2 linked regions of the Drosophila melanogaster genome follow. The protein of the gene in region 2 purifies or fractionates together with the protein of the main gene of each other region. This does not show direct contact. Each region holds a gene or a part of one and is shown on either strand. Other genes may lie near its edges.

What was found. Proteins that work in one complex are often made in the same cells at the same time.
Region 1: the proteins of atms (region 2) and H15 purify together in Drosophila melanogaster (affinity purification with mass spectrometry, with the first as the bait; one large-scale study listed by BioGRID). This does not show direct contact.

The regions. Positions count from the first base shown.
Region 1 is NT_033779.5:5,402,003-5,408,984, reverse strand, and holds the start of H15 (H15), read right to left. Parts: upstream 4,706-6,982; 5' UTR 4,106-4,705; coding exon 3,793-4,105; intron 2,075-3,792; coding exon 1,611-2,074; intron 1,302-1,610; coding exon 1,168-1,301; intron 1-1,167.
Region 2 is NT_033777.3:4,746,886-4,754,160, forward strand, and holds the start of atms (antimeros), read left to right. Parts: upstream 1-3,149; 5' UTR 3,150-3,169; intron 3,170-3,523; exon of another isoform or gene 3,524-3,908; 5' UTR 3,909-4,001; exon of another isoform or gene 4,002-4,063; 5' UTR 4,064-4,191; exon of another isoform or gene 4,192-4,723; coding exon of another isoform or gene 4,724-5,705; intron 5,706-5,911; coding exon of another isoform or gene 5,912-6,080; intron 6,081-6,154; coding exon of another isoform or gene 6,155-6,309; intron 6,310-7,275. Other genes in the region: CG44098 (uncharacterized protein), read right to left, coding at 4,724-5,705, 5,912-6,080, 6,155-6,309.

The sequences.
Region 1 (6,982 bases), on a different chromosome or scaffold from region 2:
AGGAAGGGAGATCCTAACTACCACCTAGCGACTAATGCGCATTTCGCATGTTTTCTGGGAGAGAGAAAAAAGGGCAAAAAAATAAAACAAAAGTTCCTTGCCCCAAACGGTTATGTTTCACGTTCATGTTTCCTTTTAAAGAACCCCCCCACCCCCTGAAAACTTCGCCACAACATTCGAACATATCGTCGAGCAATAATTCCTTCAACTTTGACTGAGTTGCGAATGAAAAGTCGTTTAATTCGGTTTCTTATGTGAGTATGCGTGTTTGTGTTTTTTGGGCGTACGTATGTATGTATGTTTAATGTTTGAGCTAAAACAGCTGACGAAATGGTTGTCTTTTGTTTTTCTGCTAATCGAAAATCGACGCAAATTACTTCAAAGCCTTGTCAATCAAAAAAAAAAAAAAAATACAACGACAAAAAAATGTCTTGATGTAAATGAGGAACTAACCGAAAAGCTGTTGATATTTCCAGTTAAGACGGCATGGGGCGTAAACGGGGCGTGGCCGCTAGCTTACAGCCAACATGAGCTGGAAGTTGGGCATTTGGCTTTCCATGGGTGAAAGGCGCATTAAAGTTTTTATTGATTGTGTTTCGTTCGAGGACTTTTCGTGGGCTCGATTGGTGGCCAACTGCCGGGGGCGGCATTATGGTTATGACCCGGACTGCCCCATGCCAATCCACTCCTCCCAGCACTCCGCCTCACCAACACCGCCGGCAAATTGAATTCCAACGAATGCGCTTAATGAAATAAAATGCAAGTTGCCGGGGCTATAAACGAAATGTGATCGATTATCGGGAAATTTCTTTCAATAACTGGCTATGTCGATAAGTGGAGTTTTCAAATGTCTAACTTGATTGGTTGGTGGATTGATTGAAGTGAGTTTTGAAAGATCAACAAATAAGAAAGTGAGAACATTTAAAAAAGGAAATTCAACTTAAATCTCATATAATATACAGTATACTTCAGATAAGCTCACTCTGTATATATAGAATATCCCCTTTTAAATAGAATAAAGTAGGCATATATCTGCGCTTGCATCTCTGCTAAAAATCATTCATGACTGCATCAATGGAAACCCCTGGTTTTTCCAGCCTACTCACTTAGGTGTAAACCCCTTAATTTATGCATTTGTTGCCGCCATGGCAATGGCACTGCACTCACCTGCCCGATTTGGTAATGATCATTTCAGTGCCCAATTCATGGAACTTATCCCACAGCTCCTTGGTCTCCAGGTGGCACTGGACGGGCGTGAGATCGTCGCAGTTGCACGAGCCCACTATCTTGGGCGTGGGCTGCTGTGGGCGTGGCATTGCCAAGAGAGATGAAAAAGAAGGAGTAGAGAATTAGGAGGCGATTTTAGTAGGACGCTCGAGGAGATGCATATTTCTTTCGCCACACTTAGTTGGTGATGCATACACACAAAGAAAATCATATCTACTATATATAAAATCTATTATATAAGATAATATAATATATAAGATAGGAAATAATCCTATATCAAATTTTTTGTACCTATATCTTATTTTATAAATTTTGCTAATAATACTTTTTGCTAGCCACTTTTTCTAGAAGCAAAAAGGATTTATGTCTCTGTGCAGCTTTACCTGGGCTGGTGATTCCTCTGGCGACAGGCGTTCGAGTTCCTCCGGACTTTGCGAGGGCGGGGGCGGCGGTGGCGAGGGCGTGGCAGCGGCTCCCACTGCGGCAGCAGAACGCCCTCGCTGGCTGCTTGATTTGCTGTTGGTGTTGCTGTTGCCTGAGTTGCTGCTGTTGTTGGTGTTGCTGCTGTGATGATTGTGATGTTGGCGTTGTTGCTTGCCAGTTGTTGCGTGGTGATGTGTCTGCTGCCTTTGTTGTTGCTGCTGCTGCTGTTGTTGCTGTGCAACACGCAATGCCTGACGCGCTTGTTGCTGCGCCTGCAATGCTGCCGCTGCAGCCGCTGCTGTTGTTGCCGCCGCTGCTGCTGCCGCAGTTGCCGACGGCATTTCCGAGTCACTGCAGTCGACCACATCAACGTCAACATCATCGTCCGCATCCTGGCCTGAATAGCGCTCCACAGATGCGGGACCTACACGACCAGAAATGAATGGGGGGCAGAATGCGTCAGTAACTAAGTCCCAATTATGGAAAAACAACTACTTGCAACTACAAAACACAATCATTAAAAATTAATGTTTGATACAAGTAACCAAAAATAATTAATATTAAATATAATGATACTTAGAGCTTATAAGTTTATAAAAAAGATTCCTACGAATTTCTAACAGTAAAGAATGTGTATTTAAGTATATCATTTCTTAACAGACATAAGTGCTAATTGTTTGTTGTCATATTAGAAGAGCATATTCTTTCAGTGCACTTAGAAAAGAGAGACATCAGCGTGGCTCGTTAATGTGGGAGTTGCTGCTGGGCTGCAACATGTTGCATGTTGTCGATGACGAGTCGCAACAGCAATGCCAACGAGAATCCAGTTCGCGACCAGATGCATTTTACAGATTACGCCAGAAATTCAATTATTTGCTCAAAATGCAATTTCATATGTTAATTTCGTGTGTATTTGTGTGCTGGCATTGCCAATGAAAATTGCCAATTGAAAGAGAATGGTGTGCACGATGGTGGGGGGGGGGTCGGTTTTCACACTAATGAATGCATCTGTTTGCGCTTTTGTCTCTGCCCAATTATGGCATCTAAATAGTTTTGCATTCAGAGTGTATATACAAATGCGATTATACATATATATGTATCTGCTCTGCGCCTGTCATGTGCATTTCCCAACCCCTTTGGCGCATTCAAATAGGCTTTGATTATTTTATTGCCGCGCATTTGCTGCAATTATCAAGTCATCAACGTTGCATTGTCATCAATATATAATTTATATTGCACAAAAAGGGCAGCAAAAAATGTGGAAAATATAGAAATGTAATGCAGCTGCGACAGTTTTTCAAGAGGTGGGTAATAAAGCAAGTGAATATTACTAAGCAATCGATTACATGACTCTTTACCAAAGCCAATGAAATATGTTTATATATTTTCCTAACTGCTTTACGTGTTTCTAGAAATATATAGAAATATCAACTACATTTCAATTTTCTTGCTAGCACACTAACCTACTAATTTGCTTTTGTTCTTCATCAAGTCTCAAGTATTCAAAGCCAATTTGCTACACATATATTTTTCTGGCAATGCATTTTGTTTCTGCTCTTATGTGTGATTTTATCGAGTTCTATTTCGATTTTGAGTGTACTTTCCTAATCTTGTATCTGAAATCTGAATTAAAAAATTCACATAAATAATACATAAATGTGATAATTGGCTCTTCGTCACAGCTTGATTATTTTCAATCATTTATCAAGCCTTTCATATTTTAATCCTGGATCGTAAATATTTATAGTTAAATCAGCAGACAAGCCCGTAACTTGGGATAAACATCAACATGCTAGATATGCCAGAGTTAAAATCTTTTCAAACTTTGACTGGCCAATTTATTAGTCTCAATCGAAAGAATGGAATATTGAATATGTTAATAGAGTGAAACTTGTTTGTAGTAAGGAGCTGAATATGAATTCAAGAATCATAAGAAACATACGTTCATGAATGAAGCGATGGGACTCAAATGAAGATTGGTTTTTAAGCTCGTTTCATGCAAACTAACGATATCAAGATACTTATTGTTCTGAAACCCAATCGAAAATGAAGCCCTAAAATGCATTGGCTATTTTTGAACAGCTCTTGAGTCTAGTTTGCGATGTAGGCCTGATATTTTAGTGCGGGAATTACTTTACTCACTCAGACTGCGTTCCGAAGGTTCGCGGCTGCTTGGGGCGTTTCCGCCGCGCGCCATAATCGCCGCAATTGAGAAATCCGTGGCGAAGGAAATGTTGTGCTGATTGTGATTGTGATTATGATGGTTGTTCAGCGGATGGTGATGATGATGGTTCTGATGATGATGATGATGGCTGCTGCCGTTGGCTATGTTCGCCGCTGCCGCCGCCGCTGCCGAAACAATCTGCTGCTGCAGCTTCGACTTGAAGTTCTGCGTCTGCGACGGCGAAGGCGTTTGCTGCGGTTTCGTATTCGCCGGCTGATTGCTCAAAAGCATTTTCGGGCCGAGACCAATTGGTAATGCTGCTGCACGGATTTTAGCCAATTCTTGCCAAATATATGCTCTCAAAGGTTTCGGACTTTCTTTCCCGCTTTTGTTGGTATTTTCTTTATCGTTTGCCTATTTGTTGCCCATTATTTGATATGTTTGTATTTGCATTAGTTCTACTATTTTGGGACTTGTTTGTTTAATGCTCTTTAAAATATTATATTCGGATTTAAACTGAATTCTTTACAATTTTCTTCAACATATTTGTTGATTTTTTGCCGGCTTTTGCTTTTAATAATTTAAACTGCTTTATCACACAGAGTTGCTTTGCTTCCTTTTTATATATGTATGTATGTTATTATTCTTGTGCCGTTTGATTTTTTATTAAATAATAAAATATTATAAAATTTGTCTAATTTTTTTTTGCAAATAATGTGTATTATTTTTTCCAACGTTTTACGACACACTTTGCGACTTGACGACTTTACGCCCGTATTTGCGGTCTCCGGTTTTTCGTGCTATTTATCGTAATTTGCGTATTCTCGAGTAGGAAACGGGAAATTCCGGAGCGCCGTCGCTGCTTCACAGTCACGCAGCTGACCATTGAATGAATCCCAATTCGCTTTTCGCCATGTAAACGCCAAAAGCGCCAAAGCCAAAGCCAACAAAACCAACAAAAAAACGCAACGCAAAAATCAACAACAAATACGAGGACGCCGACAGCGAAGCCAACTGCGACGTCGACTGACCCCCCAAAACAGAAACAACAACAGCTGATGTGTCTTACGGCGAAAGGTTTTCAACACCACGTAACGCGACGTAAGGAAACATTTCCAGAGAACATGGCCCGAAACTTTCCTTACGTGACGTAGGCAAACCGCCAGTTTAAACCGCAAAAGAAATATGGGAAAAAATACGGTTTTCAATTAGACTGGTGTGAGCGAGATGGCCACACATGCAGTGCATTCCCATGCTGCTTGCAGCGACGTCGGCGTCGAGGCATAACTCATTTCCATTTTCCAATTCGAACACACATTCCCATGCACTCAAAACAATACCAATTCATAAGCTAGCCGCGTGTTAGAGCGAGACAACTCTATATAGCCGTATTTGAGTGAGAGCCTTTTGTTGCTGCCATCTCACTCGTGCCGCTAGAAGCAAGGGAGCGCGAAAGAGAGCGCGCTGAGGAGTTCATAAATTCGTCATTTTGTTTTTGGCTGTTGACAGTTCTTTGCTTCATTGTTGTTGTTGCTATGGTGAGTGTGAGTGGATTTTGTTGGTCGGGGTTGGGGGTGTGTTTCACCGCTTTTCGTCGACTATTTACAATTATTCTCAACTCGGTCCGATTCCATTCCGTTTCTCATTGGCTATTCACCACAGCGCACTGAGTTGAGTGGAAAAGCGAGTGAGTTTCGTTCTAGTTACGTTTACTGTATAAATTGAGAATATTGAAAAATTCTTTTAATAATATTTAATTTCATGGTATCTCTGAAATTAATATTATTGTTCTTGATTACATATTTTTTAAGTCTTAAATAAACGATTTTATATTAAGAACTAACCTATAACATTGAAATGAATGTTTTATAAACATAACCTTATAAAGCATATTTAAACATGGTAGGGAAATCTATAAAATTCAGGAGAGGAAATTAATGTAAAAAATGAACAAAGGGGTTATCCCGCATTTGCCATCATTTTATTGTTTGCCAGCATTTTATGTAAAATATTTCGAAATGTTTTCTGTTTCCACATTTTTCTCATTTTATTCAAAAAAATTGTACAATTTTGAGCTATGAAAAATGTATTGAATTGTTTCGTTACAAGTTGTATTTTCACCAAATTCCAAGAAAAATATATTTATGTATTTGTATTCTTGTAATTATTCATTCCCTTTAAATGTCCTTTAAACATCCTAACCATCACCCTATAATTTTCCAGACCGTCAAGAGAAAAAACAAAAAGTCCTGCGACAGGACTTATCTGAGAAAGTGTCTCGTGTGCTGGGTCCTCCAATTGAAAAATCATAATTGAATATCTGGGTTCCTGGCACTCCTCCCTTTTGTCCGCCCACCGGCGTATGTAAATGTTTTTAATTTAAATGTTTGCTCAAAGGAAACAACAAAAGATGGTTGGAAAAAAAATGCGACTATGGCGTGTGAACGCAGCAGAAAATTATAGACCCATGGAAAAGGGAGGAAACTGGTGGGGTGAGGGGAAGGGGCTCTGGTGGTGCCACCATCTTGTTTCCCTCCGTCAGACTTTTTTCACAATTCGTCAGCTGCGCCCTTCGTCCTCCTAGGATGATGTCCTCTTTTCCCAGCACTGCGAGAAAAGTTGAATAATTTCGCTACATTATCGAAAGTGTAAACTATTTAAATTTTATGTCTTGTATGTTCTGGTTACAATACATTTATCTTAAAATTTAGTTTTGGTAACTTTTATATTAAAGTTTACAACATATTGATATGAATGTGTTTATTATCTAAATATTTAATAAAAATGTTTAGTCTCAAATGCAAAATTTAAATTCAAAATGCGTCTTATTTTAGTTTTCCCAGGTGTAATCGTTGTTTTTGTCTCTGCGGTTTCATTTGCATGCGATTCGTGGTTGCCAGCCGATGTGGCGCACAATTGAGCCACTAATGGTGATGTTGATGGTGGTCGGATCGGTGGAGGGAGTACATTCGGCTATATGTGGTATCTGGAGTATAGGGATACAGACAGGGTGGGCCGCAGCTCGCTTTGTTTGCTTTGTCGCGGCTCGGTGACAATTTTTCAATGATTTGTTTCCTGCCCTGAAATCTCATTTGCATATGCCACCATATTTTTTCAACTTTCCAGGTTTTTTTTTGGGGGGGTTTTCCCTGTTTCTATTCCTGCTCC
Region 2 (7,275 bases):
TCGACTACCCATTACTCAGCTTTTGGAGCTACGAGAAATATACCCTTCAAAGATTTTATTAGCATATAAATAATATAAGTCTTAGTGGCCAGATAGACTTGGCTGGTGATTCTGAAGATGAAATCTTATCCTTTCTATGGTTGGAATAGTTACCCTTTTCTATTTCGAGAAAATATATTGGGTTTTATGAAGCTAGAGGGCAACACACACTTGATCCATTTAAACACACTTCTCTTAGATATATGAAATACATTTTGGAAACGGTCGAGGTCGTGGGCAACATTTATAAAATAATAATGTCAAAAGAGCGGGCTCAAGTTGACAACCTTTTTGACTGAACTGCAGTGAAAAACTGAAAAACTATACAGGCCTCAGACGAAATTCAGACTGAAAGGCAGCAGTGAAAGTGCAAGACACCGCAAATAAGTCGAAACACTTAAAGAAGGGGATAAATAAATGGGATACGAGAATACGGCGACCGCCGACTGCTTATATTGTCTTCGCAAATCAACTGGAGGAACTTGGTGCAAATTCAACGCTTTGATGACAGAATTATTTTGCACATTTTCCATAGGATTTTTGGAGAACAGTCTTATTTGCAAAATGCTTTCTCTTAAAGATATACCAGTAGAGGCAAGTAGAGTGCTCTAAAATAATAAATATGTTGATTTGGCTCATCACATTGTTTCAAGTGTAGAGGCCTGGTGGGTCCCAGATGACATGCAATCCCACAGCCATTGTTGCGCATCATGGCGCACTATCTGCAAGCTCCACATTGCCCAACGGCTGACTTTGCATGTTTGGCGAGAAAATGTAAGCAATGAAACGGAATCCCACACGATGGGCCTTGACGAGGGGGGAATAGTTAGATGTTGGCTCTAGCGTTATCCAAGCAGCGCGCGACAGGTGACAAGATATCACACGGTTCCCGGCTCAGGGTGAATTTAAAACCAATGTAGTTTGTTGAAGCATATAAGCCTTGAGTGGAATCCAAATAGTGGCCACAAATGAGTATACTGATTTCAGAAAACACAATAAATACAATAGAATAGAATACAAGTGGAATTTGAACCTTAAGCTGCAATTCGAATATCCAATAGAACTCAGGAAAATAAAAGAAAACAAATATTGAGGAAGAGCCAACTATAAACTGATCTAAAAATAGGCAAATGTGGAAAGGGGTGGAAACCATCTGTAGATCCTTTATAATGAGCATTTTTGTTGGCAAAAGGGAAGATGGAGTTAAATGACATTTAGTCAAACTTAAATCCTCAGATGGGCGTTTTTTGGACTGTAAACCGCATTAGGCACTGACATTTTGCAGCCGTTAGCCGCCAACTGATTTATTGGCATAATAGCGATACACACTAGCATTTTTAAATGGAAAGTGCACCATCTGGAGAGTGGAAATTTCAAGAGACAAATATATAGAAGGAAGAATAAGTAACTTTTGATTTTCCCTTGGCATACCCGATTCCCTCGTCCGTCGTCCGCCTTTATGGTAATTTTCCCGGACAAGGCCCTCGGTTTCCGTGTCTTGCCCGGCTTATTGCCCATTCTCCTATGGCTATGGCAGATCGGGGAAACTGGTCACCTGGGATGGACAATGTCCGGCGGACACCGATCAACTAGAGAACTCTCGTTCGCGACAGCTGCCTCAGAGCTAATAGGAACAGCGAATAATGGAAATTTATATGTACATATGTATTTACGATGAACAATTGCGAATAAAGAAAATAGCAGAACAGCCTGCGACGCAGCATACCCACACATATGTACAAAGTACATAACCGAACACACACATATGTACCTGTAGACGTGTGAGTTGAATTATGCCTCTGCCGAAAGTGGCTGCATTGGTACATCGCGGACGGAGCACGCCTCCAAGTCCAGCTATTAACTTACCTTAATGCCGCCATCGTTTTTGTTGATCTCCCGCAGAACGCCGCGACCACCAAATCCCATTCCTAGGCCATTTTCTGCGTCGTCGAATTCCATGGCATATGTGTATCCCGGCAGGCAGCGCTCTTCTACAGGCCGATGACACAGTTAAGCTATACGTTTTCGGATAAAACTCTTATTTATCGCAATATGAAATTGGTGACGCGAATTTCCAACGTTGCTTTGGCGAAAATGCCGCTACAATTTGAAGAAGCATAAGTGACAGTGTGGCCAAATTGCCAGCAGGGAAAAAATACCAGAGGGCAAATGTTACCTAGCATGTTATTAATAACATTATTTAATTGCACTTACACAATATTTCGATCTATGAATGGTTAAATAAAATCCAAGTTTTTCTTTATTTTTTTTTTCAACGAATTTTCAAGTAAATGAAAGTCGGTCAAAATAAAGAATTGGAATTAAAAAGGGAACAGTAGCTTTGGTATTATTACCATAATCACTTTTGTCACCGAGAATATAATGTTTGCTACCTACTTATGTAGATATACACAGTATTATAATACTGCATTTTATATTTCTAGCACACGATACTTGAAGAGTACAAGTCAAAAGTTTAAAGTATAACACAGGTAGATCGCATATAAAAGTTTTCAAGTACATTATTGTGCCAAAAAAAATTTTACATTTGACACAGTTAATACGCTTTTTTAAACAAACATTTGACACGCTGCAGTAAAATATTGATATTGGATATGTTGTATTGAAGTAGTGACGACTGCTCAATTTTTTTATGTAGTGAAATGTAAAATCATCTTTTATCACAATAAAGTTAAGATGTGTTGTTGTTTGATATTATTTTTATAAAGAATAACTTATAGGAATATATTTCGGAAAGTGACCTTATATAACAACGATTTATATGCATCGTATTGTACATATTTTCGGAGTCTGCCGTATTATTAGCGCAGAAAGTCCAAATATTTAATATTAAAGTATAAAACTAGGCACTTCATTCTCTTAAATCCATAAACGAGAGCACTTCTACTCGACGATTATGTTTCTCTTTATTAGGGCTGGCAACACCGTCACCCTATTTTGTTGCCTTCTGAGAATTGTAATGCAACCGCGTAACTCAACGACTCAACCGTTCGGGATTCCGAAAAGTTATATATTTGGAAATTTAACTAATAGTGAACAAGTATTTATTTATTCTTAACCAGGATCGGTCCGTCCATGTCCGTATGAACTTCGAGATCTCAGGAACTATGTATGTACATTAGTACGCATGTATAAGAGCTAGAAAGTTGAGATTGGCCATGAAGGTTCCAAACTTCGGTCCTATCGATTTGCCAGAACACTTCTTGCCACGCCCACAAACTGCCAAAGATTGCTATGCCCACACTTTTAGGAAATGTTTTTGATTTTCTTATTGGTTTTGTAAATTTGTACCGATTTACCAACAAAAGCAACGCCCCTTCTGACGCCCACAAACCGCCCACACTTCTACAAATTTAAAACTTCTTTTTGTTTTAATATATATTTTTTTTCAATTTCTATCGATATAACAGATATCCCTCGTTAATTAAACAAAAAACAAACAACGATAAAAAATAAATCAATTCGTTTTTATGATGATGCTTTATTAGAAAAATATTGCTCTTTTGCCATGTATAACACTTCCTTTTATGTAGTAACCAATATATGATAACATTCAACAAGTTGCTAAGCGTATTCACTAGGTGATGCAACTTTAAAAATATTATGTATTGTAATTTATGCCTTGTGTATTTATGTAGAGCCTGAAAACTACTAATTGTTTTATTTTAAATTAGCTTGGTAATTGATAATTACAATACGTAACGAATGTAAATTATTCAATGTGTAGGTTAATATTATTGTTGTTCTAATCAATTAGTATTATTAGATTAAGGTAATTAATAAAAGTTGTCCATAATATATAATTATTGTGTAACTACTCGTATGTCTTTTCATGAAATTCTCTCCAGGTGTTTACAACACAATCACTTAATGTGGAACCACAGGCCTTTAGAAGGATCACCATTTAAAGATGGTTTGTCTGTGCAGTGAGGTTCGATTCGGTACGTTTTTGATTTGGTTCAATAGTGACTGCTTAATACTGGGCTTTCTCCTTTTTCTCAAGGTGTGCTCCACATCTGACTTACTTTCTTATGAGACTACTAATTATGGCTGCGCTGAAGCTTATCCCAGACTTGAATGATTTAAGGTCTTCTGAGGATAGCCTAAATAAACTAATCCCTAAAATTAAAGGTAATGGAAAATATATGTATGGGTTTGGGTTTTGTCGGCGAGCTTATTTATCCATTTAAAATAATTTGCTCGAGGATTCTATTCCACAGCTTTAGCTTAAGTGTTGCCTAAGGTAATTTTGTTTTCAAGTGCGCGAGACTTTCTCACTTGAGCACTCCGATTTAGGTTGAAGTTGATGTACGTACTACAAAAGTGTGCGAAAATTCTAGTAATATATTGACTCTTCCTCTTAAAAAGGATAGCTAATGTGTCTTACAATAAGTGCGCCCATAAACTTATAAAGCGGGCGCATAGTATATACCGCTAACAAATTGTATAGACTATAGTTTACAAGTCACAGCACCACCAAAGTGAACCAGATCGCGGCCATAGCTGTGAATCTAGCAATATCTTAACTTTTTGAACATCTGCTTCTTTCCCTCAGCATATGATTTATTATCATAGAGGCTCCACTCCTGGGCTATAGAAAAATTTCTATATCTTAAGTCCAAACACACCGCTAATTTGTCAACGCACGCTTTCTGAAGGCAGTTCACATGGGTGGGCCATCCTCGGTTATCTTGGTCGTCCAAATGCCGGGCATCAGTTGTGGAGGTAGATTCGATTGCGGCGTGTTTAGTTTTAAAATAGTGCTGTTCGAGTGGATGGTCTTCGAGGTGGGGCTGTACCCCTTGTTGTCCATGCCGTCAATGATGGTGAACTGCGAGGTGATGTTTTGGGTTCCCTGTGCAGCAGGCGAGGAGGGTCTTGAGATGGGATGGGTCCTGGGACTGCTGATCAGGGAGGTGCACAGGCCACCGAGAATGGCCAGAGATGCGAAGGCCGTCTGGGGAATGAGTTGGCCGAAGACCACTGTGGATCCAATAAAGGGCGCTCCCAGCAGCCAGAAACGGGCCCAGCAAATCGTGGAGAAGGAAGTGATCTTCTTCTTGTCATCGGAAACCAGCTCCACCGTGCAGGTAGTCAGTATACTGAGCGTAGTGGAAATGGCCATCTTCGAGACCATGGCAGAGCACATCAGCAGGGCTACATTCGGATCCAGCCCAATTACGCTGGGCTTCGGGACCAGCCAGCCGCAGTAGGCAATGCATCCTGCCACGATGTTAAAGAGTCCCGTCCACAGCCACTTGCGGGTGGTTTTCAGAATCAGGAAGAGCCCGAAGAAAGTGCCCATCATCTCGCTGAAGCCCGCGAAAAAGGTGTTAATGTACAGGTGGTCGCGACTGAAGGAGCGGATGTTGAGCAGCATGCCGTAATAGACCACAATGTACAGCGACCAGGCCAGGTGCACACACACAATGTGTCGCACCGCTCGCTCCCCCTTCCACATCGACCACCAGCCACTCGGCGGAGGAGCGTCCATGGCGGTCTGCGCCTGCAGCTCCAGCTGCTGGTCGATGTCGTGCGGTAGGTTGTAGCCCGTCCCATTCACCTCCACGCACTCCAGCAAGATCTTCTTGGCGTCCTGTGTGCGTCCGCGGGCGATAAGCCATCTCGGCGAGTCGGGAATCCACCTGTAAAAGGGATGCGAGACGCAAGTGTCAGTATGGGCCACAAAATGTTGGTACACATGAATGCTGCACAGCAGTTCCTTTTTGGGCTAGTAATCCTGATAATAAATGTATTTTATGAGGGTTACTTATAATACGTTACTTATGCGAATCTAGATAACCCTCTAACTCTATGAGTTTGCTATCAATATCTGTTTTTGATTACTCACTGCCACAGATAGATTAGTATCACAGTTGGCCACGAGATGGCCATGTAGAGGTGGGACCAGCTGGACCAGAAGCTGGCAACTCCGGGCAACATCATTACCCCAATAGACCAGAACTGCTCAAAGAGTGTGGAGACGCAAGTTCGGTACTTTCCCCCCGTTATGTCGGCCACTGTAGTAAGGAGCAAATAATTAAAAATTCATTAGACATATCCATTTACATTTAAACTAAGTCTTGCCACTTACTGATTTGGCCTCCGGCCGTGTACATCTGGGCACAGCAAACGGCGGAGAGGCACCGGAAGAACACGTGGAGCTCGTAGGAGGCCACGTGCCCCGTGAGGTTACCACAAAATATCTGCGTGATCATGCCGAAGAGCATCACATTTCGGGGACTGAAACTAAAAGCGGGAAAGGGAAATATACGAACACAAATTATCTTTATTCTTTTCCCCAGATTATTGAAGTTTAGATATAAACCAAATGTACGCTAACTTACTATTTCATTAATTCGATCGCCGACGTGTGAAGACGTTTTTATCGTGCTCCGCACAAAATCGGTTGTTTTGAGTGAAGTGAACGCCAAATAAAATAAACTAAATAAAAAATCTGAAAGCGAAAGAGACGCTCTATGCGATGCAAGATCGCTTAAATACATAGTGAATTGTTATCTTAAATAATAAAACTATGAGTCAGAATGACACTCGCGCCCAGCGTCAGCGCGAGCATGACGAACGCCGACTCTCAATTCAGCGCAACAACGCGTACTTCTCCTACGTCTCACCGACAATCCCAAACGCAGACATCGAGCGGTCAATAACCCATAGCCCAGGAAACCTTCTTCTACCAACAAATCAAGAAAGAGCGCGCTCCTGCTCTCCCGCTCTATTGGCTCCGACAGAAGCCCCGCTACCTCCAACAACAACAGCTGGAGAGGGACCGGCAGCCCGCTCTGCCTCGTCATCGGCTGCACCCGCTCACGGTCTGACTAAGTCAGCGAAAGCAAAACCGCTAGCAATAAACGGTACTGCTGCACTGCCAGCAAAACAAAACGAAAACGTAAACAAAAAAGCTGGGTCGACCTGGCAGACTGGAATGGACCGCTACATTACAATAAAGCGAAAGCTCAGCCCGGAAAATTCAGATTTGGGAAACAAGCCGAAAAATACACGCGATAACTCTACCTTGATCAAAAATGTAGCCCCTGCAAATACCAACAGATTTGCCTTGCTGGTAGATACCGCTGAGGACGTGCCGCTGGGATCCGTTGATATCGAACCGAAGAAAACAAAGCCTCCGCCAATATACATCCGCGAGAAGAGCACAAGCCGTCTTGTAAATACTTTGATTGGCCTTATTGGGAAAGA